Linked DNA regions of Struthio camelus. The main gene of each other region encodes a partner of the protein of the gene in region 2 in a complex. Links are inferred from orthologs where the notes say so. Each region holds a gene or a part of one and is shown on either strand. Other genes may lie near its edges. The genes, in order: MAP3K5, YWHAZ, CFTR and ITGA4.

Region 1 (7,107 bases), on a different chromosome or scaffold from region 2:
AAGTTGGGGAAAGGGGAAAGCAAAGGAGGTTGCAGGAATGAATACAGAGTCACACGGGGAAAGCGAGGTTAGTAGAAGGACAAGGCAGTTAGCATGGACGCTGTCCTGGGGGATTTGAAAGAATAGAAGTAAGAAGAGGGAAACACATTGGAAGGGAGGAAGAAAGACAGGGAGATTTAGCAAGAAGCGTGAGACTTGCCACGGGCACATTTTTCACTACACTTGGTCTGTCGTTCCACAATACACGGGCTTCAAGGCCAGTAATAACTGATGAAATAGCCACCCCCCACCACGTGTCCTTGTTGCTCCATCAGTCTTAGCTGATTACCATTTGTGGGGGCCATGCCATCATTTGATAAGTGAATTTATCATGCTATTACTACTGTTACACGATCAACTGCATCCCTGCAGAATGACCACCAGTCTCTGTTTTCCAGCTTCTTAGTACTTAAGAACTGCTTTAAATGTTTAGTTCCATCCTGCATTTGCCATTCTTTTTAAACTTGGCAGCTGGCACTCTGCTAGCAAAATGCTGCCCTCTCCATATTGAACATAAAGGATACCTCTGATTTTCTACAGTGATATATTTAACTTTCATTTGGTAGAAGATTTAACTTTTAAGAACAATTTGTTTATTTCAGTGATCGTATCTATTTGCTTGTGAGAGTTCTGTTCTAAAGCTCATGGAAACAGGATTAGTTTGTGTACTTTCAAGATCTCTTGTTTGGATTTTTGCATCTGCAAGTTTCTTTATATACTCTGTTTTCCACCCACAATTCAAGCACATTGGACTCTGGTTTTGCAAACTCCTTTTTTCCTGCTTATTAGTGAAAAATTTACAGCGTATCTCTAATCTCTCATTTTTGTATGCTGTCGTATAGTTAAATAAGAGGGTCTTAAAATATGGATGAAATTTAGCATCTGCTTTAAAACCCAATAACCATCAAGAAAACTCAACGGGCATGTTACTCTAGAATCTTTTTTCTGCCAGCCTTGTTGGATGTTGAAGGCCGTATCACACTGAAAACGTAAGTCGGACAGAGCGTTTTTCATTGTACATGTATTTTAGGTTTACTTTCTGTAAATCAGAACACGCTCAGGGAAACTACCCTTTTTTGACTTGGGTCTCGTTATTACTAGTATGAGTGAATAAATCAAATCTCTGATGTCTGTCACACACTGTTTGACACTTACCAATAATTGCATTTATATTTGAAACTAACATCCAAATTCTTGGATGTTGAAAATCATAATTTGGTTAAATCCAGAGGTCAATGATTTATGGTTGTAAAAGCATATAATGAAGAAAGGGTTCTTATTTCAACAATTTTACATCTAACTGCTTGTTAAAAGTTCTGTCATCAGAAAAAATCAGAGTGGAAGCAGGGCCACATTCCATACTTAGTGCTAAAGATGTTAGTTGCACAGCACCCAGAAAACAAAGTGAACAAGCTAAGCGTACTTCTGATAACAACCGGGATACTACTTCCGTTTTAAAAAAAAAAAATCCTTTGAATGATCATCTTCTAATCAAACTTCTAAATTGAAGAGCTCCTAAACATATGAATCATCACTTCAAGGAGTTAGCAGATTAAAGAAATATGCTTTTCCTTTATAAAAGCATAGACAATTTGTGTCTACTATTCCATATTAATCAGTGTTTTAATTGTTTTCAGTTAAGGGCCCAGCCTCAACCCCAGACAAATCAATAGAGCTATCTTGAACGTGGTAGGGATATGGCATTAGTAATGAAGTGAGGCTCACAAGTCAGTAACGCTAAGTGAATTAGCATGCTTCTTCCTTCTTTCAGTCCATGACTTCCTTCTGCGCTTGACAAACATGGGCTGTTCTAAAGAACACCACAGAGACATATTGTTCTTGCTTCCTGTAATGTGATGCAACTGTAGCGTTGAATGGATTAACACTGATTCTGTGTTTTGTGGAAAACTACATTATTTAGAAAAACACTGATTGCCATCCTGACTGTAGCCAGAAACAATAACCTACTGTATCTGGCAGATTAACAAATATTAACTTCTACCTGTAAATTGGTCTTTAGTTTGCTCGTCGTCTTCTCACCCCATTTACCCATGTGTTATCAGCAGAAGCAAATGCCAGGCATATCTCTTTGGAAAAAAGGACTGATCGACGCAAAAGCAAACAGGGCTACTGAAGGTACTGCAGTGACTAATCTTTCTTAATTATTCCAGAATTGATCCTCTGTCTAGAGCAGTCACGGAAAACAACGATAGAGGAACAGGCTCAGTGCCAACAAGATGATTAGTCTCAACAAGATGAATTGTAATGGGATGGACTTACTGATAATACAAACAAACATAGCTATAAATATGTAGAGCACTATTTTTCCTCCATGCTTTTCCTGGATCTACTTAATGTAATTCCTCCAATCCAAAGAAAATCTAACAATCATTAGGATTTCACTGTATTTTTGTTCAGAAACAGACTGCAAAAACTCTCAACTTCCTTTCCTTTTCAAATCCATTTTGAATTTCTCAGCGATTCATTCCTGGCCTGCAAACAATGTGCAAGTTTTAGGCAAGTTTTTCATATTATATATTATTTATTATATATATTACTTCAACTATCAAGGGATCTTTTCTTCTTTCTTGACTGGGAAGACTCTTACACCAGATTAACGCTTCTTTTGGTGATATGCTAGTTATTCAGATTAGTTTGCTTTTCCATGAAGAAGTATTTGTTAAATATCAAATGCCAAAGTGTTCATGAAAGACAAGTTCCAGGTGAACACAACAATGCAATATATTTAAGCAAAATACAGAGTAGCTTTTCAGTATGGCACTTTTAAAAAGAAGTATGAGCTGGGTACTGCTGCAGGCAGCCACAAAACCTTCAGTCAACTTGAGGCCATCCAGGAACACAAAGAGAGGAAAGTTTAAACAGGAAGAAGAGTAGAAGACAAGGGTTAATGATTATTAAATCCTGACAACCCTTAACTGCACAAAACGCAAAGCCACTCACTTAACTAGACTATCAGGGTTTAGGAGTAAGATGTGCATAAAAAAAATAAAAAAGGCAACAAGAACTATCCTGAAGTAAAGGCCAAAATTCCCTTCGGTTTTTCAGAGCACGGGATCAGGCTGATGCCGAGTCACTACACATGACTTAGTTTAACTTAAATAAGCCCCTGCCTGCATAAAACTAACATCTGCAAGTGAAAGCGCGTATTAAAACCTCAGGCAAGTCGGGGCCGGCTTCACCTCAGCGGCTGTTAGCGTGGGGGGAAGCACAACCCGAACCCAGCAGCACACTCGCCCTGCCCGACGCAGGCTCCTTTTACAAGCGGTATTAAAAATAAAGCTCTGCGGAACACAGCGGGGAAAGGGCCGCCGGCTGACAGGCATCCTCTGCTCCCTCCCGCCCAACCGCCCGCGCCGGCCGTTACCACACGCCTGGCGCGAGCCCGGAAGCGGACGCGCGAGGCCCCAACCGCCGCCGGCACCCCCTCCCCCCTCCAAAGGGGGACGCCGGCCCTCTCGCCTCCCCTCTCGTGAGGCAAAAACCACCGCTGCCCTGAGCGGCTCCGAGCACCGTTCCGACCTAACCGAAACCCGCTGCCGCCGCCGCGCCCCCCACCCCGGGCTCCCCGGAGCCGCGGAACAGCTCGCCCGCCCGACTGGCCAAAGAGCCCCCAGTGCCCAAAGCGCCGCCAGGGCTGCTTTATTTCTGGCCGGAGGCGGGGCGGGAGGAGGAGTCTGGTGGCTGCGGGCCGCCCCTGCCCGAGCCGCGAGTAGCTTTGCAGCTGTCGCTCGGCTAAATCGGGGACGCCTAATAGCAATCCCACAAGTGGTTCCTGCCGGCGGCCAACCAACTTCGCCCGGAGCCCGCCCGCAGAGGCTGGGGGCCGAGGCGCGGGGGGACAGCGGCGGCGGCGGCGGCAGCAGGACCGCGCTGCCGGGCCGGGCCGAGCTCGCCCGGCCGCCCCGGCAGGTGACGCCGCTCGGCGGCGGGGGAGAAGGGAGCGGCGCGCAATGGTGCCGGGGGCCGGCGCCGGAGGAGGCTGTGCTCGTCTCCCTGCCTGCGGCAGCCTCCGCTAACCTCTGAGGGGGAGCCCCTCACTTGCGCCCGGCCGCCTCTCCCCTTCGGCAGCTCGGCAGCAGCGCGCAGGGGCGCCGGGACCGTGCCGGGGCAGGCGGCGCAGCATGGCATCCGCCTAACCGCGGCCCCGCGCGGGAGCAGCGCCCGGGACGCGCCGCGGCGGCTCCTCCGCGGCCATGAGTGACAGCAGCGAGGGGATCATCAGCCTGTCGGTGCCCAGCGCCGCGGGCGGCGGCCCCCCCTGCGAGGAAGGGCTCGGCAGGCGGGCGCAAGGGGCCGACGGCGGTGCCCGCAGCCTCCTGCCCGACTTGGCCGCGCTGCCGGCCGGCAGCCTGTGGGGCGAGGAGAGCGCCGCCGCCGCCGCCTGCCCCGCCGGCACGGGCATCGCGGCCCGGGCCAAGGGTGGCGGCGGCGGCGGCGGCAGGCGGACGGCGGTCACCTACGTGATCAACGAGGCGAGCCAGGGGCCGCTGCTGGCAGCGGAGAGCGGCGCCCTGCAGAGCCTGCGGGAGGCGTGCGAGGTGGTGGGCGCCACGCTGGAAACGCTGCACTTCGGCAAGCTGGACTTCGGCGAGACGGCGGTGCTGGACCGCTTCTACAACGCAGGTGAGACCCCCCTCCTTCCCCCCCCTTCCCCGCCCGCCCGATCTACTATCGCCGCTCCCCGCCGTCCCTCCTGCCTTACCGCCGCGGCGCGGCTCGGCTCGGCTCGGCTCGGCTCGGCTCGCCGCTTCCCGGGCGGCTCCGGCCGAGGCCTCGCGGCGGCCCCGCACCGCCCCCCTTCCCGCTGCCGCCTGGCGGGAGGGGCCCGGCGAGCCCGGGGCTGCCCGGGGCTCCCCGAGGAGCGGCGGCAGCCGGCGCCGCCCTCCCCTTCCCCCGGGGTCAGCTCGGGTCGCCGAGCCCTCGGCGCAGCGGCCCCGGGGCTGCCGCTGCCGGGAACGCTGCGCGCCGGTGGGGTGGGAGCCGGGGGCGGGGGGGCTCGTCCCCCCCTTCGCCCCAAACGCGGCGGTGACCCCCGGCCGCCCCTGCGGTGCTGGGCGCTGGGCTGGCGCCGAGCCGCGGTGCCGCGGCTCCCCCCGGGCCCTTCGCTGCTGCCAAAGTATGCCAAGTGCTTCCCCCCCGCCGCCAACGTGTTTTGGAGAAGAAACTCCGTGTCAGCAAGCGTGCTGTGAATCAGCAGTTGTCAGGACTGCAAGAACTTGTACATTTTTTTTTTTAACCTATGCATAAAGCAGGACCTGACCGCTTTTTCTCGATCACCATAAAAAAACGCGGGGGGGAGGGGCAGGTTTTTGCTGAAGTGCTGAGCTGCGGTTGAAGTGCCTAGGTGCTGCAAGGGCTCGGCAGCTTTGTGCAGTAGGTTCAGCGTAATTGGGACACTCTGTGTGTTTTTTGTGCCTGGAAGTTCGTACTTCAAATATTGGTTGCATACAACGTTTATGATGGATGGGGTAGAACAAAGTGCCTTGATCCAGTCAGCTGGCAACAACATCCCTGTGCTGCATCCTCTCACCCGTCTGCCTGCTTTCATAAACATACAATTGCAGCTCCTTAATTTGAAACCATGGTGACCCTAGATTATCTGTTATGATTTACCTGGCCCTATTTTTTAAATAATAGCCCGAAGCTTCCTACTGTTGTATTTCTCTTTTTGTTAGCAGATACATAAAATGAATGGAGAATAAAAACAGCTGCTTACTAGATTTGTAAAGACTTGAAAAATTATACTACCGAATGAATGTTTTCCTGCCTTAAAAAAATAGAAGCAGCAACTTGACTTGACCCAGAATTCTAAGCCTACTGTATGGTGTGTTTTTGTGTGTGTGGAATACACTGGCAAATGGGCACTTTAAAAGTTTTGGCTAATACAGGAGTTCCCTCCCGTCTTGGAGGAGGGAGGGAAAAAGAAAGAAAAGAATCTAGCTGGGTTGTAGGCCGTTTCCACAGAAGATTCTTTCAGCATGAACATGCATATGCATGTTACTTCTTTGAAACTGCAGAAGCTTTGTCTCCTGGACTACTGCTTTCAGTTCAGTGAGAGACGGACGGTTTTGGAGTGTGTAGCTGCTTGTCTTGTACCTCCGACAGCACTGTGCCTTGAGAGTTAATGTTTTCAGAAGTGGAAGGGGCTATGCTAGCGAATGGAAATGGGAAGAAATAGCGCTCCAGTGTAGCTCTTACCCTCTCCCCGTACAGAGTAGAGAGATCAGATTTTAACTCTGACACTTGTTAATTGGTGGGCAGTTAAAACCTGAGGGTCTCATTTTGTTTCACCATGGAAGCGGTATCATAACACGCTCACACGGTTGGGTTATCTGTGTCTTGTTTTTTTTTTTTTTTTGTGTGTGCGTGCCTCGTATGTTTGTTAGTTTTTACACTCTGGACTCTACAGCGGTTTGGGTCTCGGTAGTTCACAGAGGCTTTTCTTGTAACGGGAGATTTGACTTGAAAGTGGGCCCCTTGAATTCTGCCAGTAGGCGTCTGGCATATAACACTGCATAACTGCACGCTTATGTAATATAACATTGCTTATTTCAATGGCTTTTGAGCAAGCTGTTTAACATTGAAAACATTGCTTTTTCTTTCAGTACTGCTTGGTTATGGGAACTTAATCAAAGTGTTGCAAAACAGGAAAAATACCTTGCCATTGTGCTTTAGTAGCTAAGCCTAATAAATATGCAAAAAACTGAGAGACACATCCAGATCATGGGCTGAAAAGAGCAGGACACGAGAACGAGTTTGTATCTGCTTCCAGTATACTCCATACCTTCTGAGCCGAGGAGTCATGAACCAGCTGTGATCCAAAAACTGTTTTGTGCTGTTGACTTTGAAGTTGGAACTTGGATCTAGAAAGATCTGAATGTTTTCGTACTTGTTTCCTTATTCCTGCCACATTTTATGTACAGTACGTATTTCTAAGAACTAGTTGTTCTCTGGAAAGTTTAAGCTAGTAAAAAATAACTATCATTTTAGGAACAAGACAGCGTTAAAAAGTAGAGGCTATGTCAGCTGAAGAATGCAAATAGAGAG
Region 2 (7,323 bases):
CCCTTCCTTGCTACCCACCCACTTTTAATTGGATATGGTTAGGCAGAGGGAGGAATAACTAAATACCTACGGGAGAAAAGATGAGAGAGAAGAAAGAACTAAATGCTGCTTTAGGAGGGGGAAAGAAAGGTATCTGCGGTCATTTTCTTTTCTTTCCCTTCACTTCTTCCTCTCATAGAAAAAGAAAATACAGTGAAAAGCAATGTACATAAATATACATATATATACTTTTATATGGAAATGTGTCTAGCTCTGCAAATGAGTTTTTGCTTCTAGATGTTGAGAAGCATGCCTGACAGTCTGAGATAGTGAAAGTGCAAGTCATCGAACAAAAAGCTGTGTGGAAAGCAGCAGAGAAAATGCATCTGAAGAAAAGGGAAACTGCTCAAAGCTTATCTTTTCAAGAGCCTAATTCTTTGGTCAAAACTGCAATAAGCAAGACAAAACACAACATTCCTCACTGGGGAAAAAGTGCAGGAAACATAAGAATAGAAGACAGCAGGCGAGTATCTGTTCGAGAAACAGCATATGCAAAGGTGAGTAATGTCTAATTCCTTGGATCTGTTTCAAATGGCAGCTGTTTATGAAATCCAGAGAAGTGGAAATGGTGTTTGGCAAAAATAGCCTACTTAAAGGAGAATGAGTGCAGATTCTGTTGACATATGGGGCTGTTAGCAAACAAAAACTCTGGTTAGTGGCAATTAAGGTTGTTGCGGGAGACCTTCCATTCACTCCAAAAACAGAAATAACGGAAAGAGGTGAACGGAAAGACTGATGTTTTTCTCCCACAAAACTATTAATGCTGCCTACAGTATTATCAACAGCCTAATTCACAAGGTTTTCACCTATATTTCCACAAGATAGCAAAAAGCAATAGATACCTATGCTTCCTCTAACATATGCTCCAGTGCAGATTCTTTATATACTTTTAAGAATTATTATTTTTCCTGCATCCATTCGTTTTTCAACATGCTACCACAAAATATTTCAAGTAGCACTCAAAACATAAAGTCTATATTTGGGCTGATGCCATTTCAGTGAGACTTTTCTGCAAAATAAAGGTTTAAAGCTTATGTTAAAAATGAACTCTGTAACATAACTTCAAGCTAGTTGCAGCAAATGCTGTGCCATGGTACCATCTGTGTTCAAGTACAGCTCTCATCCTATTGCTTCCTAAAGTGAAAAATAATGATAAAAAACAAAACTGGATCAGATGAAGAACTGCGTATTGGAATATATTATGAACCTGAGCCTTACGATGTTTGCTACAGAAATGAACTCCCCTTTATCTCCATAGCCCTACAAAGTTATCATCGTGGAAACAAAAAGGTTGTATTTTTCACATTTAAATTAAGCAACAATGATTTGCTCACCTGACACAGCTAGGAAATTCTGGTGAGCTCTGTTCTACCTGATATTGCCCACCACTCTGAATATTTTGCTTTTTTCAGCTCTCTTCACAGCTGTTCCAGAAATATTCCACAGGAAAATGAGTGAAATTCTCTAAACCCTGGAGTAAATGGAGGACACTAGAATTGATGAGAAAGCTAAAGAATACCCCACTGTTCAATCAGTGTCTAAGATAACAGAAGTTTCTGGACAAAGCTTATACAGAAAAAAACGTACATTATGACAAACCTCAACATACCGCTTAGGCCATGAAAAGGGTAATAACAGATCCATAAATGCTACAAGCAAAATGCCACCACAGAAAATGTAACTGTTCTTTGCATGATACAATTTTAAAGTAAATTTTAAAGGTCCTATTCTGACAAAGCCAAGCTTGTCAGGAGGAACTTAAAACGAAGCCTTTCTGATATTTAGTCAAAGCACAGGAGAGTCATTTTGAAGATTGAGAAATAAAATCCCCATTTTTGTGTGATTTTATCACATTCTGAGGCCTACAGCCATTTTACCGGTTCAGGGAGAAAGACAAGGAGCAGGCCAAGAAGCTACCTGGGAGTGCATAGATGGAAAATACATAGAAAAAGACACGCAGGAAAGACTAGGAGGCATAACACATAAGGCAGTAAGTTTGCAGAACCTCTTCATACTGTTTTCTCCTGTACCATATCAACCTGTTCCTCACAAGGAATAGGTCACTCGTCAAGAATACCAATATATTTATAGCTTCCTCTTTCTTTCTCACAAGCAAGTACCTCACTCTTCCTATGTTATTCCCACATACTGTCCAACCGACAGATTTTTTTGACTCTGTCTACACAAATATTTGTCCACGCTGTGTTTTGGCTATTTCTGCATGAGTTGTTCTTAATGAATAGTCAAATTCAATAGTCAAGTTACTCAAAAAGCTACTGCTGCCTGATTTCCAGTTACTGCTCCCCCGCTGAGACACTGTAGCCAACCATGTAACCATGATTTCAGGGTTTATATCTTGCATTAAAAAGGAATAAGGTGGAGCGCTTACTGGAATCTCCCACAAATACAAGAGCTTGAAATAAGTCCGTAAGAGGGAATCTCCCTCTCCCAGTGAAGATGTTCATATTCCATCACACTATCAGATGCTAGATAAATCTGTATCACAAAGTCTTCCCATCCCCTGTGTTGTAACTGACCATTTGCAAAGAGCAGATGCTTCCTCTGTCTTCCCCTGAAGGCATATCAACCACAGATGACCACAAAGTGCAGCATCCTGAAATTGTTCCCTAGCTCAGGCTACTGTTCACACACCAAATTTCTGTTCAGGCATCTCAGTTGCTTCCAATCAGATCCCAATGTCAAACTGAACTCTTTATCTCTAACTCTGTGAGACAGTGCTGATCTCAAAGTCCAGAAGAAAGTGTACAGGAGCTTAAGACACGACATACTTGAGGCAGAGAATCAAGCCAGGGCACTCTTCCAACAGAAGTCAAGTGAATACAGGCTTCTACCACCTTCAGGAAACACTTCAAAACTCTTCTTTCCCAGCAACAGCTATATTCATTAATACGTTTCCTACTCCTTTCAGCACCTTCTCATCACCTTTTGCATAGTGCTGGCCAAAATGCCTGGAGAAGCTTGCGAGGGGAGAGCTTGGCATCCATGGTCTGCTCCCACACCAGTGTCCCCCAGGGCCCTGCCATGACTCCTGGGCTCCTCCCAGCAACCGAGGGTGCCCTCCAGGCCCCTCCGAGCCACGGCCTGCGCTGCATCTGCCGATGTGAACCTCCAACCCCCTCCCCGCTCCTGCTTCAGGATCTGGGTCCCCGCACCCGGTTCCGTTTGCCGCTCAGCGCCAGCAGGCCCTTACAGGGACCTGCCCTCCATTTTGTACCCCCAAGCACACCCTTCGATCCTGCCTCCGTCAGAGCAGCTCTCAATCACGATGCTGCAGTGAAAAAGGTGGCAGAAACTCGGAGAAAACTGGGGAGGGGGGGAAGGGCCTTGCACATTTTTGCGTTTTTCATTTTAATTGGAAAATCTCAGACCCCACAGCCAAGCGTGGAAAACACAGAGCTGAGGCGATGGGTCAGTCCCTGGGCGTGGTAAACGAAGAGCCCCGACACGCACCCGCCTCAACACTGCCGCCCCCTCCCTTCCGGGGCGAGGGGCCCCCACGCGAGCCCACCTCAACACTGCCGCCCCCTCCCTTCCGGGGCGAGGGGCCCCCACGCGAGCCCACCTCAACACTGCCATCCCCCCTCCGGGGCGAGGGGCCCCCACGCGAGCCCACCTCAACACTGCCATCCCCCCCCCGGGGCGAGGGGCCCCCACGCGAGCCCACCTCAACACTGCCATCCCCCCCCCGGGGCGAGGGGCCCCCACGCGAGCCCACCTCAACACTGCCGCCCCCCCCCCGGGGCGAGGGGCCCCCACGCGAGCCCACCTCAACACTGCCATCCCCCCCGGGGCGAGGGGCCCCCACGCGAGCCCACCTCAACACTGCCATCCCCCCCCGGGGCGAGGGGCCCCCACGCGAGCCCACCTCAACACTGCCATCCCCCCCCTGGGGCGAGGGGCCCCCACGCGAGCCCGCCTCAGCGCTGCCGCCCTCCCGCCCCGTTTCCACCCAGGCCCGGGACAGCTCCGCCGCCGCCCCCCGCCTCCGTGGCCTGCGGGCAGAGCCACCGCGACGGCGACCGCGGCCCCGCCGGGGGGCGGGCCTGCCCGGCCGGCCCTGCCCCAGCCGTGGCGGGGTGAGAGGCCCGGGCTGGCGGAGGGGCGGCGCCCCGGCCCGGCCCTGCGGCAGCGAGGACGAGCCCCCCTGACGGGCTCGCTCGGCCTCTGCAGTCACAGGGAGGGAAGGAGGAAGGCGCGCGCCCGCGGGAGGAGCCGCCGGTTTTAGGCGTGGCCGCCGCTCCCCCCCCCCCCGCGCGCCCCCGCGCGCGCCGCCGGCGCCCGCGGCGGTCGGCGAGGCCTCCGCCCTGTGCAGGGAGCGCCGGGGGAGGCGCGGGCTCGCGCCCGCGCCCTCGCCGTTGCCATGGCCCCGCTTGACGTCACGGGCGGTGCGCTGCCCGTGCGTTGCGGCGCGGTGATTGGCGGAGACCCCGTGTGTGGCGCTGGGAGAGAGGCTGCAGCGAAGCGAGCCGCGAGACAGGCACAGTCCGCGCCGGCCGTCCGCCCCGAGACACTCGCCGCGTCGCTGCCGCCTCGCACAGGTAACGGGGCCCGCGGCGCCGCGCGGCCCCGCCTCCCGGCTCCCGCCCCGGCTGGCGGCCCCGGGCCCCGACCCCCGCGCGCCGAGGGAGGCGAGGCGGCCGGGGGGCAGCGCGCAGACCTCCCCCGCCCCCTCCGCCGGCCTCGCCGGTGGCGGCAGGGCGGCTCCCGCCGGGGCTCCGCGGGGAGGGGGCGGGCGAGCCGGAGCGGAGCGAGGCGGCCGCCGCGGCCCGCGCAGGTGAGGCCGCGGCTGCCCCTCCCTGCCCGGCCTCGCCCGCGAGGGAAGGGGGAAGGGGGGAGCCGTTGGGGGCGGCGGGTGGCGGAGGGGGTGGCAGGTGAGGGCCGCAGGGGCGGTGTCCCGCCCTTGGCGGGCGGGGGCGACCGCGCCGCCGCGCCCGCGCGGGAAGGGGAGGGGGTGTAACGCCTCCGCGGGGCGGGGGCGGGAGCGCGGCCCGCAGTGCGCGGGCGGCTGTCGCTGGGTGCGGTCTCCCGCCGGGAGCGCTGCCCGGGCGCGGAAGAGCCGCAGCGGCCGCCCCTCCGTCGGGCTCGCTTCCCTTCTCTCCGCCCTGCCCTCCTTCCTCCCCCATTCCCCCCCCCCCCGGGCGCCTTCCTCCGCCTCCCCCCCGCCCCACCGCGGCCGAGGGGGTCTCGCCGGGGCGTGCGAGGCTGGCCGCAGCCCCGCGGGCGGTAACGGCGGCTCCCCCGGAGCGGGGGCCGCCTCCCCCCTCGTCCTCCTCTTGGCCACTGGGGCGGCGGGGCCGGGCCGGCGGGCTTCCCCTCGGCCGGTCGCTGTCGGGGCGGAGACGCTGCATCTTCCTCCTCCGCCGCCGCCCCCCGGCGTTGGGCGGAGGTGAGTGGGATTAACGCGCACTGAAGTGGGCTGGGCTCCGACGCCAGTCCGCCATGACAAAGGCGGCAGCGAGGCGCTCGGTGTCTCCGCGGCGGGCGGATGCGGCGCGGGGCGGGGCTGTCCCCGAGCGTGCCTCCGCGCGGGGGGCCGCCCGCCCGGCTGCCCGCAGCACCATTTTATGCTGTCATCCAGCGTGCCGAGCGGCATCCTCCGGTCCTCGCCGCGCTTCAGAGCGGTCGTCTTCACCCATCAGAACCAAGGGCCGCTTGGCTGCCCGGAAGGGATACTGCCGTACCCGTCTGCGGGCAATGGGTAGCCCGGTGGCCAGATAAACTGGCGTTCAGACAAACATTCAAACCACGTTTGCCTTAGTCGCACCGGGTGGTGAAACAACCGTAGCCAAAACCTTTCTTTAAAATGGCTCCTTAACCCACTACTTATAGTGTGGTCAGGACTTCGGCACATGTTAGCAAACACTGTGGAACAGCCACTGAATTGCTGTGTGCCAGCGTTGGGGAGAGCAGCTGCTAAAACTTTCTCCTTTCAGGTGTCTAGGATGTTAAAACGTGCTTTGTTTGTCCTTAAATAGGAGGTACTGCAGTTAGTGCTTGTGGTAACTTTATGTAAAATGACCAAAGTTAAGCTACTGAATTATTATGTGTGAGGTTGCTAGTTGGAATGTATAGAAATAATGTAGCATATATCACCAGAATTGGTTCTCGTCTTAATAATAAAACCTTAAAGGAGGGTGTATTTCAAAGCACATAGTAAGGACCTGAAAAATGACTGGATCAAGATACATGAAAACTTGGGGGGTGAGGTAGGATTATCATGTCTTGAGGTACAAAAAAATATGTCGGTTATCTTCGTTTGGCAGAGCTTGGTTTAAAGAGTCTGGATGTGATACAGGCTATAAAGTATCTCAGCCAGCTCATGCTGTCTCAAAAGCTGATGTTCAAGTAATATTTTAAATAGTGAAGTCTCCTTGGGTCTGTGAAAGCATACCTAACCTCTCAGACTGAGGAGCACTGCCTAGGTGAGAGGATTTAACCTATTACCGTTTTGGGAAAGGAAGCTAACGTTGTCAAAGGGTGTACTCCTTGAAACTGCTTGAATATTTAGGGAGCTCTGACTTCTCAGCCTCCAGTGTTGGGTTTGATTTGCAGATCCCTATGGCTAGTCTTTCTGCACATAAATATAAGGTCCTGTTAAGGCACAGAGTTGTCTCATACTGTTTGACTAGCCTGTATTTTGTCTGTTCCTATGTTGTCAATCTTATTACCTTGATAATTAGATGCAGCTGATGCTGCATCTTTACTGCACTCATATGAGAAAACTGAGTGATGGCAAAGGACTGGGATTGTGCGTATGCTTGAGATAGGAGTGATCTGCTTTCAGTTCACATTTGGATGCTTATATTTGTAAACATTTAAAATAATATTCCTTTAAAAGTTAACGTTTCCTTAGAAGGAGGCAGTGACTTGAAGTCTTCAGCTCATGTATTTGAGCATTGGAGCTTGCCTGCTTTGTGTTCTAGATTTTGGTTGTACATTTCACAATTTCAGACTTCTTGGAAAACGGTTGCTCTGCATATGACATTAAAACATCTTTGTCCTTGATAAATGTCTGAATAATACCTCCCTGTTTTTCCTCTGTAGAAAGATCAGCATGGATAAAAATGAGCTGGTGCAGAAGGCCAAACTGGCTGAGCAAGCTGAAAGATATGATGACATGGCAAGTTGCATGAAGTCTGTGACTGAGCAAGGAGCTGAGTTGTCCAACGAAGAGAGGAATCTTCTCTCTGTTGCTTATAAAAATGTTGTAGGAGCCCGTAGGTCATCTTGGAGAGTCGTCTCAAGTATCGAGCAAAAGACGGA
Region 3 (7,037 bases), on a different chromosome or scaffold from region 2:
GGTTGAACGAAACATTACAACTAAAAATAGTTTCCAGTTAACTAAAGGTTCTGAAATATTTGAGGGTTGAGTTAGAGTGAAATTGATTTTTATATATGATTGCTTCAGCCATCAAAGAAAATAAACGTCACCTTGATCCCTATTTTCTTTTTCCCTATCCTATCCAGAGAACCATTTTTTCTCCAAGGATGTTTTAAGGGATTTTTTCAGAAGATCAGAGTTATGAGACTAATGAGCAGAAAACCTATTTCATTTTAAGCAGCAACAAAAAATCAGTGACTGTAAATGTTACTTTTGGCAGCTGCTTAGCTTTTGTTTTCTATGATGATGCTTATGTGGTCATACTTTCTCTTTCCACTAACGACTTTTCTGTCCCTTTGTCCACTGATGTTGGCTAATGGATCAAGTATTTAAATAGAATTACTTTCCTCCACACTTGCAAATCAGCAGCTGGGTAAAAATCAAAAAACCCCAAACCCCTAGTGTGCTGCTTTACTTAGAAAACTCAGTTTGTGACTCCATGGCAGCTAAAGTCGATCTTACCCCTGCCTTGCCTTCCTCCTCTCTTGCCCCTTGACGTATGTTTGTACTCTTACTTATCTTGGCAGTAGTGCCGAGTAAGTTATCTTCCTAGTTAGTTCAGGGTGCTGATCCTGCTGAAAATGAATCACTCTATGGTAGAGTTTTCAGTTAGACCAGAACCTTGACTGCTTTACATGCAGTCCAGTAGTCCTGGAGGGGAATAGGAACATGTAACCAAAGGCAGGACAGAGGCCGGTACAGCCTCCAGGTGTAACTCACTTCTGAGTTTCTGTGAACATGGCAGCAACTGAGCAGCTGATCCGTTTCCTATGTCTGCGGCTTCAGACTCCCTACCGCAGGTTGTTTCTCACTTGGCTGGGGTATCATTGCACTTCTGCAATGATGCAGTATGGCAGCCAAAGTTACTGCAGTGATGGCAAAGGAAATAAGGCTTTGCCTGTTCTCCTGTTCACATGCCACCTCACTCTGCAACAGGCTCACTCCATTTTTTTCAAAAATTCGAAGTAAAATCAGATAGATGGTGGATGTGGATACAATTAAAGGATAAAGTAGCTGTTGTCATATCAGATTGCATTTCTGTGGAAGTGAAGGAAGATCACATTAATTACATTCATAGATAATACTAAATTTGGATGTATTTCAGCCCCTAGAGACAATAGAAATATCATGGTTTATTCTTGCGCATAGAAATGCTAATGACAAGTTTCTCATTCATGTCAGCTGGAATATGTTCAAGCTCCCAGAGAAGATTAGGAATAATGGCTGTTCTGAAACTACAGAATGTTCAGTTCGGGGGAAAAAAAAAAGGGCAAGGAAATTATTTGTGGAAAATTTGAAAAGCACAACTAGTTAAGAGTTTGTGACTGTGTGAGGTGAGATGGAAGCACATGAGTTCTATACAAAACTATCAGATCAGAGAGCAGGGAACTAATCACTCCTGGGGGTTTGGTGGTGCTGAAATAGCGATAACTGGTAGTTAAGAAACTAGTCAAATAGTCTTAAGTTTAGAGAAGAAATGTTCAAAATTAGGGATTTAGAGAACTTGACATATGAAGGGCAGTGGAATTTGGAGCTAAAAAATCAACAATAACTACTGGGATATCTTTGTTAGTCCCAAATTTACTGGAAATGCTCCTAAGTCAGCTCTGGTGATAATAGCAGCAAGGACTTTTATGGAAAATACTCCATTAGCCATTGACACTTTAAGCAATTTGGACTTGATCCACAAAAGGTTTTAAATGGCTAACATACCTCACTTTCTAATGTAAAATACAAAAAACCTTCTAATCCCCTGCTCAGTTTCTGCCTTATCTGAACACACCAGAAACCTAAGGGCTAGAAAGGGAAAGAGTCTGTAGCAGGCTAGTTCTATGTTGCTCAAAAGACTTGTTTTCCAGCCTGTCTTTAAATTGGCATTTAACTATTTTGTAACAGTGAAAGAATTTCAGAGAAAGAGATCCACTTCGATCATCTGTGTGTTAGGGCCCAGTGGGGAATTTCCTTGAGAGGTGGAAAAATGTGGATTCACAGCCTTGCCTTAAGTCAGGCAAAGGGGGGATTCGAATCCTAATCGCTCTTTTCTGGTTGAGTATGCTAGTCACTGAGCATAGTGGATACAGAGGAGTTAGATTGCCATTTGTCACCGCTTAATCGAGGAGAAAATCCATACCTTTAAATATGAAAGGGAGCAGGTACCTTCGAGTAGCTTAGAGCCCGGTGCCAAACTCCTCGAGGTGCAGCGTCCGCCTGCTCCCCTGTTCGCTGCGGCGGGGGTGCTGCGGTGCGGCAGCCCCGCGCCCGTGCCGCCGGGGCCCCGTGGCTCCCGGGCCGCGCGGCGGGCTCCGCTAGGTGGCAGGATGCCGGAGAGCTCCCGCTGCGGCGCCGCTCGGCTCCCGCTGCGGAGCCGCGCGCCTCCGCCGCTGAGCACCGCCGGAGCGGTGCGAGGGGGCACCTAGGAGCTCCCCACGGCCTGCGAGGAAAAACTGTAAGGCGAAGAGAAGTTCTGTATGAAGGCGCTGAGGGGTCTAGTGAGAAGCAGTGATGTGAAATAAAAGAAGAGATAGCCGCAAAGATTGCAAAGAGTGACAGCTAGTTAAATCGTAGCATAAGCTCTGAGACCATAAGAATCACGTTTGCCCGTTTAAAGAACCAGTGTGGACAGAAACGGTTGTATGCTTAGGAAAGCATGACCTTTTCCATTAATACTTTTTTAATTACAGAGGTAAAAGGCAACTGTGTAAATATCGTATTAAAATGTTAAATGAAACAGGAGTAAGTTATATACAGAACTAAAACGATCAGAAGAACTTATTCCTGCTTATTGTCATCTTTATTTTATTTTAAGCATGCTTTCTACTGCATGCTCTTTGAAAGCAGGGATTTTGTTTGTACACTACACGCATAATTCCAGAAGCAGCTTTGTTATTAAACGTCGGTGTTTGGGCTAAATTTTATGAGGATATACCTTCAATTCCCATTCCTCTACGTTCAAGTTGTCGTGCCTATGAGAAAACTTGAAAAATTGCAGCAACTGTATTTTAAAGTGAATGTTGTTGTGCGCACTGTTCTCATTTATTCTTATCTGAGCTCCCTGTCCGCTGTCTATTGCTTGTTTCAGTCATTTCACAGCGACGGCGTTGGCCAGCAGCGCGGCGCACGTGAATGGGGCCCCTCACGCCCTCTCTGCCATCGCGATGGCCCAGGGCGCTCCTTTAAGAGCTGTCTTGCAGGACCTCGCACAGGGGTCCTGGGGAGCCTCAGGCGGGATTGTGTTGGGTTTCTCCCCCATACTGGCGCTAACGGTGGGATAACTCGGGCTTTGGGCATGCACAGAAGTTAAACCCCGTTAAACCAGGCTTAGGCTCCCTTCGGTCTTAGAGGGCGCCCCCGCGCCTCTCGCGGACCGGCAGGTTTCGCTGCGGGTTTGCAAGCAGGTGGCTCGGGAGCTCCGGGTTGGGTCTGCGGCGGGCAACGGTGCGCGCGCGGGGGCAGCGTGTCCCCCTGGGGGGCTCGGGGGGGGTGTCTCCTCGCTGCCCGCTCCCCGCTGCCCCCGGTGCAAAGGAAGAAGGCACAGTTTAGAAAGGCGATTCGCCTCCTTGAAGGGCGAGGGAGGTCGGGCTGGAGGGGGCTCGCAGCCCGGCTCCCCGCCAGTCCTGCGGGACTCTGCGTTAGTGACTGCTGGCAGGGCGCCGGAGCGCAGGGTGTGCGAGGCCCAGCCAAGCCGCGTTGGTAGGAAGAGTTAATGGGCTAGCGCGAAACCCAGCGAGGAGCCGGGGGAGGAGTGTGTGTGTGTGTGTGTGTGTGCGTGCACAGTGGGGAGCTCCGGGAGCCGCGGGGCGCGCCCGGGTGCGCGGCGCGGCGGGCAGCGGGTGCCGGGCGCGGCGGGGGGGTTGGGAAGGAGGAGGCGGAGGAGGAGGCGGTGGTGCGCGGGCCGGCTCCCGAGCCCTCCTGCTTTTGAACCTGGGCAAAGCAGAGGCGGGGAGAGGGGCAGGGGAAGGAGGCAGGCAATGACATCAGAGCGGCCCGAGCGGATAAGGTGGGAGAGCCGCGGGAGCGGAGCGAGCGAGGCGTGAGCAATTAGCGGCGGCCGGCAGTTCCCCGCGCCCAGCCCAGCCCAGCCCCGCGCCGCGCCGCGCCTCCCCGAGGCAGCCCCGGGCACCATGCAGAGGTCCCCCCTGGAGAAGGCGAACATCTTCTCCAAACTTTTCTTCAGGTAGGAGCCTCGGCGGAGCACGTGCGGGCCGGGAGGGCGGCGCGGGCGCAGGGCTGCCTGGCCCGGCGGAGGGCTCGCTAGGCGCCAAGGAGCCCCAGAGCAGTTTGCAAAGAGAGCAGTGGGAGCCTTGCTTGTCGAAAAGTGATGTGATCTTATCTGGCTTTTTTTTCTCCCTCTAGTTTTTAGCACTAGGAATGGTCTCTATCTATTTGGTGTCATAAACCGTCAGTGGTCCTAGACAAATTGATTTATGACACAATTTGAGCAACCTTTGGTAAATTGCTCAACTACTTAATTTGTTATTTCACTACAAGCTGTGAGATCACGGGGCGGGGGGGGGGGGTGAATGATCTGAAAGCAAGGGTTCCTTCTCCTTGACTTTCCATTTTTTTTCAGTTCAATATGAATGTAATACAGGATCTTACTGGAAATAGTTCCTTGTAAGCCTTGAAAGTGTTCCCTTACGAGTAAAGTCCCTGGCATCTTTTCTTTCTTGCAACTTCAAGAAAAAGAGGAGAAGGAGCCAATACCCCAATGCCTGTGCACCACACAGTTCATAAGACAATTCAGAAGCCTGAAAATGTTTTACATGATATTGTTGGAAATAACACTACCAGCTGGAAGGAACAAATGATCTTTCTGACCCATGTGTCAGTTTTGCTGTTTTCCAAGGGAGCCGGCTTCCCCTTTTGTTACGTGAGGGTCTTTCATGCAACACCTAAGGGAGGGAGGAAATCTTACATGAAACATGGCCATGGTGACTGAAGTGAGGACACGTGATAGAAAACCATAACATTGGCACGAGGTTCTTGGCTGAGATACTAACTGAGGGCTTTTAACTCACTTTCTAAAGCTTTTGGGATAACTTCCCTTTTCAGCAGATTGGCATAGATTTGGACTTTTTTTTTCTTAGTTTCTTAAGAAGTGGCTCTTTATGAATTATTCTGTTTGCTTGCCTGCTCCCCTTTGATTCCTTTGACCGTTCATTTCAGCCAGATGAGATAGCTGTGAAGGATCCCAAACACAACCAGTTTCTCAAGTTTTGTGAAATGCCCAGCTGAAGGAGACTCCTGTCAGTGTCCTCTACAGATGCTGCAATGTGAAAGAAGCTGTACCTGTACTCAAATGCTCTTAGACCCAGAGAGTGTGGATTAGTGGGAGTGAGCCCTTATAAATTCTCCATAGAAAAGCTTCAGTTGGTGCTCCAGTCAAGTGTAAGATTCAAATCTGTAGGAAATAAGGCAACATATTAACTTTGTTGCTCGTGGAATCATTTGTTCGATTTCATTTTATTTATTTTGCAGCTTATAGCAGCATGCTGTCCTAGAACTTGTGATGCTAAAGATGTCAGGCAAAATTCCCAATAAAATATATTGCTGATTCTTACCTTAATTAAAATTCCCATGTCCAAAAGCAGATGCAACTCATGCTCATTAACCTTGAGTCTGAGTCTTTATGTCAATTAAGTGAGGTTTGAATCATGCGTATCATGCGTGATGTGTGATATTATACTGTCTTATGATAATATTATGATAATAAATATATCAAGAAAAGAGATATTTATGGTGAATATTGACTAGAACAGAAGAGTTTCTGTGCAAAACTTTATGATAATATTGCTTCAAAGAAGAAACAAGCTATTAAAGTAAGCATTCAGTTCACTGGGTAAGAATAGACAAAATTATATATAGACTTCTATAAAGAATCCAACATGATATGCTTCTGTGAATTATAAAATTTACTTGCATTTTACCATGTATATTGGTAAAATATCTCTGTTCAGAATTATTATATGAAATATTTGCAAAGATCACAAAAGTGAAAACCACAAGATAAAAAATATTACATCCCAATTTGCATCAAGAATGTCTTTCTCTTAAAAAAAACTCTTTGGAAAAATGAATTATTTGTAGCTGTGAAACATATGAGCGTGTTTTAAAATATTTGCATTCATTCCTCACTGACTCAGAATTTCCATCTCATCAAATTAATATCAGGATCAATGTTAAAAATTATTAGAAGGTAAATTATAACAGAGCAAACATTTATCAAGTATGAGGATTTTACAAAACTTAAAAATATATTATTTGTGATGAGCTTTATAAAGTCAGAAGAATTTACTTATGTATCACTAACTAAAGAGACCTGTTCTGTCAGCTGGAAACATCCACGAAATTGTGGTTAATGAATTAGATTGGATCAAGGTTTTGTGAAATGTCAGATTATTTTGTTAGTGTTCTAACTGAACCTACACATGTCCTTGGTTTCTGAAACTGATCATATTTAGCAAAGCACTTCAGGACATGCCCACATTTAAGCATGAGCTTTAGTTCCATTAAACTGTGTGAGATACAGAAGTCATGAGCATTCTATCAGAAAGAGGTAGTCAGTTCTTAAAAAAAAGAAAAAGTTATGTCTGGAAAAAAGATATTACTTTTTCCAATAATGATTAAATAGTTGTTTTCAAGTGCAACACTGAGGACTTCTTCAGTGAAATAACTTTTTTAGTAGTTGCTATGGAACTATTTGTAAAGTACAAACCTGAATATAGTGCAGTAAGTTGAAAGTTACTATAGTGGAAGTATCACTAAAGAATAAAATACTATTTTTCAGGAAAGTCTTGCTGATAAATGTAATATTATTATTTAATATTGCACAAGCTGTTATCAGCTCCCTGATAATAGTATCTGTAAGCCCATTGGCAAGGATCTCTTGCTTCATCCTATGTCCTGTTCAGGCTAGGGATATGTTTGAACATATTAAAATGCAGAATGGGGCTTCT
Region 4 (7,087 bases), on a different chromosome or scaffold from region 2:
TTCAGAGAGATTAATATGCTGAAATGGAAATTATTTGTAGGAAAGGATTGATTAAAGAAATCACTAATTTTCAAAGAAAACAGAACTAAATAATATTCTCTTTTCAAGTTCTCTGAACATAAATATTTACTTTTCATGTCAAAATAGCTGTTCGTGCCAAACATAAAACATTTGTTTTAAAAAGTGCAAAAAACATTGTAACTGTGCTGATCGAGACTTTAGCAATGGAAGATGTAGAGGGAGCAAATGAAAATACTCTTTGTGTGTATTTGAGATGGGAAAGTTGCAAAAGCTCAGCAATTCCTTTGGGATGGGAAAAGAGGTTTCTGCCCAGTCCTACTCAAAACTAATTATTTATGGTTGGGCCTGATCTCGCAGCTCGAAAATCTTACACAAAATTCTAAGAAAGAAAGAGGATATCCTATGCAGTTACCTCACACACACATACAATGATTAATTTCCAGTCTTCCTCTCCCATATCTTATCATTATAAATCAGAATGCAGTCACTAGTTATACCTCTTCTGAACTATAACGACCTATTATTTGCTTCTGCTGGTCAGGATGCCATAGCCTTTATCTGTATGACATCATTATAAATTTAAATATTGGGAAGTTATGTTGGAAAACCCATCCTTCACTTCACCAACATAAGCATACAATGGAATGAAAAACTTCCAAAAAACATCCCCTAAAAAGACATCATGTGAGTATAAAAATGTTACTTATTTTAAAGAAAATATTATTTATCAATTAACAAAAAAAGCTTCTTCCTCTTTAGCTGATTCGAACCAAAATCAGATCTCTGAAGAGAACAAAAGGATAACAATAAAAAAATACTCTTGTTAATATTAGCTTCTTCTTAGTGCCTTGGACACCTGTGCTTAATTATACTTGTCAGTGGACAATATATTCTACTCTTGCTGCAGAGGGAAGATGAGGTTTTCTTGCAGAGACTCTTCGGAGTAAATGTAAGGGTATATTTGCCTTCGCTAATTTCTCAGATGACAGCGTATGAGTAAAAGACTGCTATTATTGGGGGAAAAAAACTTACAGAACAACAAGAAACACTTCTGGTCAGATCAAACCCCCAAATTTTCCACATTTCAGTGGATCACAAAGGCTTAGAAAATTTCAGTTTGAAATAACAACATTTAGGTATTTAGACAGTCTCAAAATGAAACATTTCAACCTTTTCTAATTGGAACCGGAAATCACCTTGTGATCATTTTGATTTTGAATTGAGATTAGATCTGGAGACACTTTTCCGTAAACAGACACAGACTTTCATTATACCAAGGAGAACAAGGACAGGCACAGCTGGAAGCAAGTACGTTCATAAAGATTTTTAGGAATGCGTGCTTTCCCTTATATTTGCAACAGGGTGAAAACATTAATGTGATCAGCTACCCAAGTTACACAGGAACTTGATTTAATACACATGCCATCCAAATCAGGGAATCGAAAACGGAGTAGTATAGGTTATATAGAAAAAGAGCAAATGCAAGACTTTCACAACAATATGTTCTTCCTACAGTGACTTCCTTTCCCCCTAAAAGGCTCCCCCAGAACCATTGCTTTCCCCAAATTAAACAGCCTAGGGGAAGGCAAGGTTTGTTTCCTCAGTGACCTCCTTTCCTACTCCCTCCAAACTCAATGACATCTAACAAATGAAAAACTCAGCAGTTGTCATAATCTTGATACTCCTCTCCCGTCTTAGACCCAAAGTCAGAAAAAGCACTTGTGTCCTCTCAGAACAAAGGAAATGAGAGTATATTCATCTGGAAGGATGAAAGCCTCTCCACATTTTCTGATGAGATATAGATGCACATTAATAGAAATCTCCTACTAGAGATCCCTGGCTGATCAGGTGCTGATTGTGCCCCAGGGCCGGCTTCAGAAGGATTGCACGCCTCAGGTGAAGTCTCGTGCTGATTCCTAGGAGTCACACTTCAAAACTTCCATGGCAGCTACTCTGTGAAACAACAACTCTCAAGCTGACAAAAGGTTCTGCAAAAGCCATTATAGAGTCAAGAACGCACTCCATTTTATGGAATCTGTATTTTTCATTAGCCTATAGACGAATACAAAAAAATCAAACAGCTGCGCTTCAGGTATTTCTTAAATCAGAAGAACTTTAATATCTAAATACACTGTAAGGCTACTGGAAACGGAAGACATTGACTTACGCATAGAACACCACAGGCCGCAGTGTCTCTCTCCCCCCCAACTTGTCAGCGTGTCCATCTAGTCTTAAAGGTTGGGTCAAAAAGGCTGTTACAGCTATGCATTTGAAACTGGATTCAGATCAGTATCTCTTCAATCAAGCCACAAAACCTATCAACTATAGCAATTTTCAGCAGTAATAGTTTTGTCTCAGATGTATTAGCTACTGGCACATAAAATGCTCCACATACTAGTAGCAACTTAACAAAACTTCTGGCCATCTCCTATAATACAACTTTATTTTGAAGGGTATTTGCTTTTCATGGACAATATAAATGTAATTTCGTAGTTCAGCAATAACAATATAAAGTGGCCATTTCCTGGCAGCTAAAAGCATACTGGAGACTGAAGCAAAGCACAACATTCACACGAACCTAACTCCTACTTTTGTCTGATGCCGAAGCTGTTCAGCCAGTTAAATTATGGAAAATCCTCAACTTTTGAACTGATTTCTCTCTACATAACTTAATTTGCCATGAATGTGTCAACAGGAATTGCCTGTGTTATTACCAAAGAAATTACAATGTGACTTCATATTTCAATAGGGGAGACAATTATACCATCGCTATAAATAAATAAAGGTATTTAAGCTACAGAAACCACTCTATCAAAAACACTACATTTTTGATATTTGATGCAGCAGGGTATTAAGTCAGAAACAAAGCCTAAACACACAAAGAAAGAGGTAAGAGAAATGCAAAACAGCATCAAAATAATTGTAAAAATGGAATCATGGGACTTGTAGCCTTATCTGTAATTGATTATATTAATTGACACAAGGGCCCTGAACTATGTCAGTGAAACAGAACTCTTGGTAATAGTTTTAATGACTTCTGTTGAAAAGCCAAGCCAAAACACTGCATTCACAGTTTGATGAAGGAAGGAGAAGAATACTACTAATAGCTAATGCTGCGCTAAACAATACCTTCTGGAGGGAGGCAAGCAACTGAGACAGGCTGGTGATTAAACAGTTATCATTAAGGGGACTTCTCACAATGTCCTTAGTGTATGATTTCTTATATTCTGTTTTACCTGCTGTAATGTGTGCATGCTCCTTCATCATTCCCGCCATCCAACACAGTCCACAGCCCCATATCTGCCCCAGGCTTTATCCTGGCCAACACCTTCCTAAACCCAGGCATGAACTATCTTAATAAATAGTTCCTGTCCTTTGCTGTTAAAACCCAAGTTTTAGGACTCAAATACCACCTCACTACCAAAAGGAGAAGGCAAGAGAGATCCCCTCAATGCAACGGCAATGCAGAAAGACTTGCAACAGGGGGATGCTGGGAGCTTTTTAAATTTTTAAGGAGAATGTAAATCTGACCACACCATTTCCCTCAGAGAAGATGAGCCTCAGCTTTGGCTAGTGTTTCCATGCTGGCACTCAGGGGAGATACTTTTCAGGGAACAGGAAATTAAAGTAAATGGGCTCGGTTATTTCAGGGGCAGCTGGGATGGGAAAGTCAGCTACGACATTTTAGGGAAAGCCTGCTCTATTTCCCCCCCAACAACCACCACCACCACAACACTCACTCATCTTCTCAAGGCCTGCGCGGCCTCCTGGCCCGGGTCGGGGAGCTGGCCGGGCTCTGGCACAGGGGCGCCCGTGCCCCGCGGTCTTCGGGGCTGGCAGAGAGGGGGGGGGGAGGAGGGGACGACCCCGCGCTCCCCGGGACACGAGGGACCCTCCTCTCCTCGAGCAGGGCGGACGAGGGGAAGCCCCGCCCCGGCTCTGCCCTGCCCTGCCCCACCGCCAGCGGACGCGTCCCGGGCCAGGAGCTGGGCGCTGCCCTCTCGCCGAGCGCGAGCAGGAGGCAGCGGCGGGCGCCCGTCTCCCGGCCGGCCGGCCGGCAGCCATGCGGAGCGGCGGCGGGGGCGCGGCGCGGGGGGCTGCCCGCTGGGCCGCCCCGCCGCCGCCGCCGCTGCTGCTGCTGCTGCTGCTGCTCTGGCACGGCCTGCCCGCGGCGCGGCCCTACAACCTGGACACCCAGCACCCGCTGCTCTTCCAGGGCGGCAACGGGACCCTCTTCGGGTACTCGGTCCTCCTGCACCGCCACGGCGAGGACAGCTGGTGAGTCCTGCGCCCCCCCCCCACCACCACCACCGGGGGGCAGAGCCCAGCGGGGCAGCGAGGGGCGGCCGGCGCGGAGCCGGCTGAAGGCGCGGAGCCGGCTGAAGGCGCGGAGCCGGCGGCGGGCGCCCCCCGCTCGGCCGGGCTGGGGCGTTTGGCGCTGCTCTCGCTGCTGCTCCCTAGAGCCGGGCAGCCTCGTGGTGGGAAAGCGGGCAGCTCCGGCCGGCGGAGCGCTGGGGGCGTTTTTTCGTTGTGTCGCGTTCTCCCCCCCCCCCTCCCCCCGGGACGCGCCAGAAGTTTGCGCGGCCGCGGCGACCCGCGCGGGTCCGTCCCGCGCCTCCTCACGCCGCCGTTTCTGACCTCCAGGCTCGTCGCGGGCGCCCCCCGAGCGAGCTGGCCCGCCAACAGCTCCGTGGTCAACCCCGGTGCCATTTTCCGCTGCCGGATCGGGAGGAACCCCCGCGGGCGCTGCGAGCAGCTCCAGCTGGGTGAGTGGCGGCGCGAGCGCGGGCAGGGCCGCGCGCGCGGAGCGGAGCGGAGGGCAGCGGGCGCGGCGGGCTCACCCCTCCCCCCGCGGCCGTTTCTAACGGCCGTTTCTAACGGCCGAGCGGCCCAGCCCGGCCTGGTCCCGCCGCGCGCGCCTGCGGTTTGAATTCACCGCCTCGCGATGTTCCCCTGGTGTCATTTTGAGATTAAAGCAGTGTTTGCCTTTCACTAAGGGCAAGGTCAGTGCTGTTATCAAGTAATGGAGAAGGTGGCATCTCTTTCTACAGAGAGAAACGCAACAGAACTTGATGAGGGGAAACGCGCCTAATGTAACAGCTCCCATTCCCGTCCTGTTTTCTTTGGCATGTTTCAGCACCCGATTCAAAGCCCTCCTGAGATTTTCAGTTCTCCCTCTCTGTCTCATACTTTTCTTCAGAAAGCTACTTAGGCTTTCTAAGCAGAGCGCAAATGTAGCTAACTTAGGGAGGGAAGGTGGAAATCATCGCTTCTCTGCAAAGCATTCCTTTGTAGAAGCCACCCTAAAGCAACGGTGAAGCACAGCCACCTTGCAGATGGGTTCTTACCACCTGTAAATGTATTGATAAACTGAGTTTCAGGGGACCAAAGCTATTCATGACTGAGTCAAATTTGCTGGCTCCTGTATTTAACCTAATCTCTTCTCTCCACCTCCCCTGTCCTCATGCTTGTGAAGTACAGGCATCTTCCAAGTGTTTGATACTTGCTCAAAATGAGCATACTCTGCAACTGGTTGCCGTGAATGCATTGCTTTGGGCTCTGTTCTCATCCTCCTTGAATACAGTGCCGTTCAAACTCTATCCCTGTGCTACGCATAAAAAGTTTCCTGAACTTTCTCTTTTGCTCTAACTGAAACAGTCACTAGAGCCGGTAGAACTATGAACTTGCCACCCAGTAAAGATAAGAAGCACGGGAAAAGGTTTTCAAAATAGTTGAAACCAACAAAAATGATAAAGCACCATGGGCTGACTTACTTTCAGGCCAGAATACAAGACTTTACTGCAAAAATGTTAGGTCAAAACAATAATTTCTTTATGTAGCATTTAGAATTGATAAGTTCCATACAGTTTTTCCTGCAGCTAGAAATAAGATTTATTTTCATACTTAAGCTACAAAGAGCTAAGATACTTCGGTGGTGCTTTAGTTACATAGGTAAGAGATAAGCAGTTGCTTGTAGAAAGAACTGTAATTAAACATATTCCAGCCCAAGTGGTTCTCTTCTTGAGTAATTTCATTCCAATATTAGATCTATTGCGAAATGATGAAGAACTTTCTTCTTCAACCACTTGTCTATAACAGGAGGTTTGGAAAAGTGAAAGAAGTCAACTAAATGAGTGAAATAGCATGTGCTAAAAGGCATTAAATCCCTGGCTCTGGATTGGGGTAAAAATAGTATTGATTACGTGGGAGAAGAAAAAGAGGGAAAAGGTGCTAAAGTTTCAGGTTCTTTGAATACTACTGTAGCGCTGCAGTATTTCTTGAGTTATTAATTTAGCCAGTGGAGAAACCAAAGCTCTGACAAAGTAACTTGATGGCTTTTTCTCGGTTGTTTAGGGGATTCTAAATGAAATGGTGCAGTTGAAAATGTTTATGTGGTACCAAAGGCTTGGTTCAGTGAGTCTTCCGTCTCCGGATTTAGAGACTGCAGGTACACAGTGATGTTTACTATCTTGTTCAACCCTCTTAAAAACAGTTATACCGCAAGGAGAAACAGAAATGTTTGTTCCCTTACTGATAGGCGACTTCTTTATAACACCAAGGTAGTTCTGTGATATACCTGAAGTTAAGTAGATACTTAAAATAAATGTTCTATTATAAAGTGAGAAGTGAGGTCAATAAAAAAGCCAAACCACGTTGCAGTGCATGGGATGTAAATCAAGGAGAGGACGGTGTCAGGGTTTGGTTAAGCCTCTGTCATCATGCTGAGTAGTCACAGAATTACACAAGGGGACTTTGAATTGCAAAGTTAAACTTAATCTCTTATCTAACTCATTCAGACTGTCAGCAGCTTTTGGACATAATGGTTTTATCAACACTATGTCTTTCAATCAGTGATCTCCTTGTTCTTCTGCTTGGATTTTTGACAATGACAAGTTTGGGTTCTGATCTCTTAGAAGAGAGTAATTTCCTTTGAAAAATGGGCAGGGATATATTATGTTGCTGGGACGGGAATTCAGAAATAGCCATGTTTATCTTCCTCTTAAATACCTGAATTCACATCTTTTTTCCATGTAATAAGTTTCTAGTAATGAGTTACAGAAATGTA

Evidence for each region.
Region 1: the proteins of YWHAZ (region 2) and MAP3K5 are in contact, whole or in part, in a crystal structure (PDB 6EJL), measured with the Homo sapiens proteins. The link is inferred for Struthio camelus from reciprocal best matches to the Homo sapiens genes YWHAZ and MAP3K5. Residues at the interface, in NP_001129171.1 of Homo sapiens: Val46, Lys49, Asn50, Arg56, Lys120, Arg127, Tyr128, Glu131, Gly169, Leu172, Asn173, Val176, Tyr179, Glu180, Ile217, Leu220, Asp223, Asn224, Leu227, Trp228; in NP_005914.1 of Homo sapiens: Ser964, Ile965, Ser966, Leu967, Pro968, Val969.
Region 3: the proteins of YWHAZ (region 2) and CFTR are in contact, whole or in part, in a crystal structure (PDB 5D2D), measured with the Homo sapiens proteins. The link is inferred for Struthio camelus from reciprocal best matches to the Homo sapiens genes YWHAZ and CFTR. Residues at the interface, in NP_001129171.1 of Homo sapiens: Asn38, Arg41, Asn42, Ser45, Val46, Lys49, Arg56, Arg60, Glu113, Phe117, Lys120, Arg127, Tyr128, Glu131, His164, Pro165, Ile166, Gly169, Leu172, Asn173, Val176, Glu180, Ile217, Leu220, Asp223, Asn224, Thr226, Leu227, Trp228; in NP_000483.3 of Homo sapiens: Arg764, Arg765, Arg766, Gln767, Ser768, Val769, Leu770, Asn771, Leu772, Met773, Thr774.
Region 4: the proteins of YWHAZ (region 2) and ITGA4 are in contact, whole or in part, in a crystal structure (PDB 4HKC), measured with the Homo sapiens proteins. The link is inferred for Struthio camelus from reciprocal best matches to the Homo sapiens genes YWHAZ and ITGA4. Residues at the interface, in NP_001129171.1 of Homo sapiens: Lys49, Arg56, Lys120, Arg127, Tyr128, Glu131, Gly169, Leu172, Asn173, Val176, Tyr179, Glu180, Ile217, Leu220, Asn224, Leu227, Trp228; in NP_000876.3 of Homo sapiens: Arg1007, Gln1008, Tyr1009, Lys1010, Ser1011, Ile1012, Leu1013.

The regions. Positions count from the first base shown.
Region 1 is NC_090944.1:74,131,208-74,138,314, reverse strand, and holds the start of MAP3K5 (mitogen-activated protein kinase kinase kinase 5), read left to right. Parts: upstream 1-4,103; 5' UTR 4,104-4,253; coding exon 4,254-4,683; intron 4,684-7,107. UniProt on the Homo sapiens protein: Serine/threonine kinase which acts as an essential component of the MAP kinase signal transduction pathway. Plays an important role in the cascades of cellular responses evoked by changes in the environment.
Region 2 is NC_090943.1:146,168,221-146,175,543, forward strand, and holds the start of YWHAZ (14-3-3 protein zeta/delta), read left to right. Parts: upstream 1-4,311; 5' UTR 4,312-4,598; intron 4,599-7,104; 5' UTR 7,105-7,114; coding exon 7,115-7,323.
Region 3 is NC_090942.1:28,687,577-28,694,613, reverse strand, and holds the start of CFTR (cystic fibrosis transmembrane conductance regulator), read left to right. Parts: upstream 1-4,024; 5' UTR 4,025-4,202; coding exon 4,203-4,255; intron 4,256-7,037. UniProt on the Homo sapiens protein: Epithelial ion channel that plays an important role in the regulation of epithelial ion and water transport and fluid homeostasis. Mediates the transport of chloride ions across the cell membrane.
Region 4 is NC_090947.1:18,678,731-18,685,817, reverse strand, and holds the start of ITGA4 (integrin alpha-4), read left to right. Parts: upstream 1-4,084; coding exon 4,085-4,299; intron 4,300-4,665; coding exon 4,666-4,787; intron 4,788-7,087. UniProt on the Homo sapiens protein: Integrins alpha-4/beta-1 (VLA-4) and alpha-4/beta-7 are receptors for fibronectin. They recognize one or more domains within the alternatively spliced CS-1 and CS-5 regions of fibronectin. They are also receptors for VCAM1.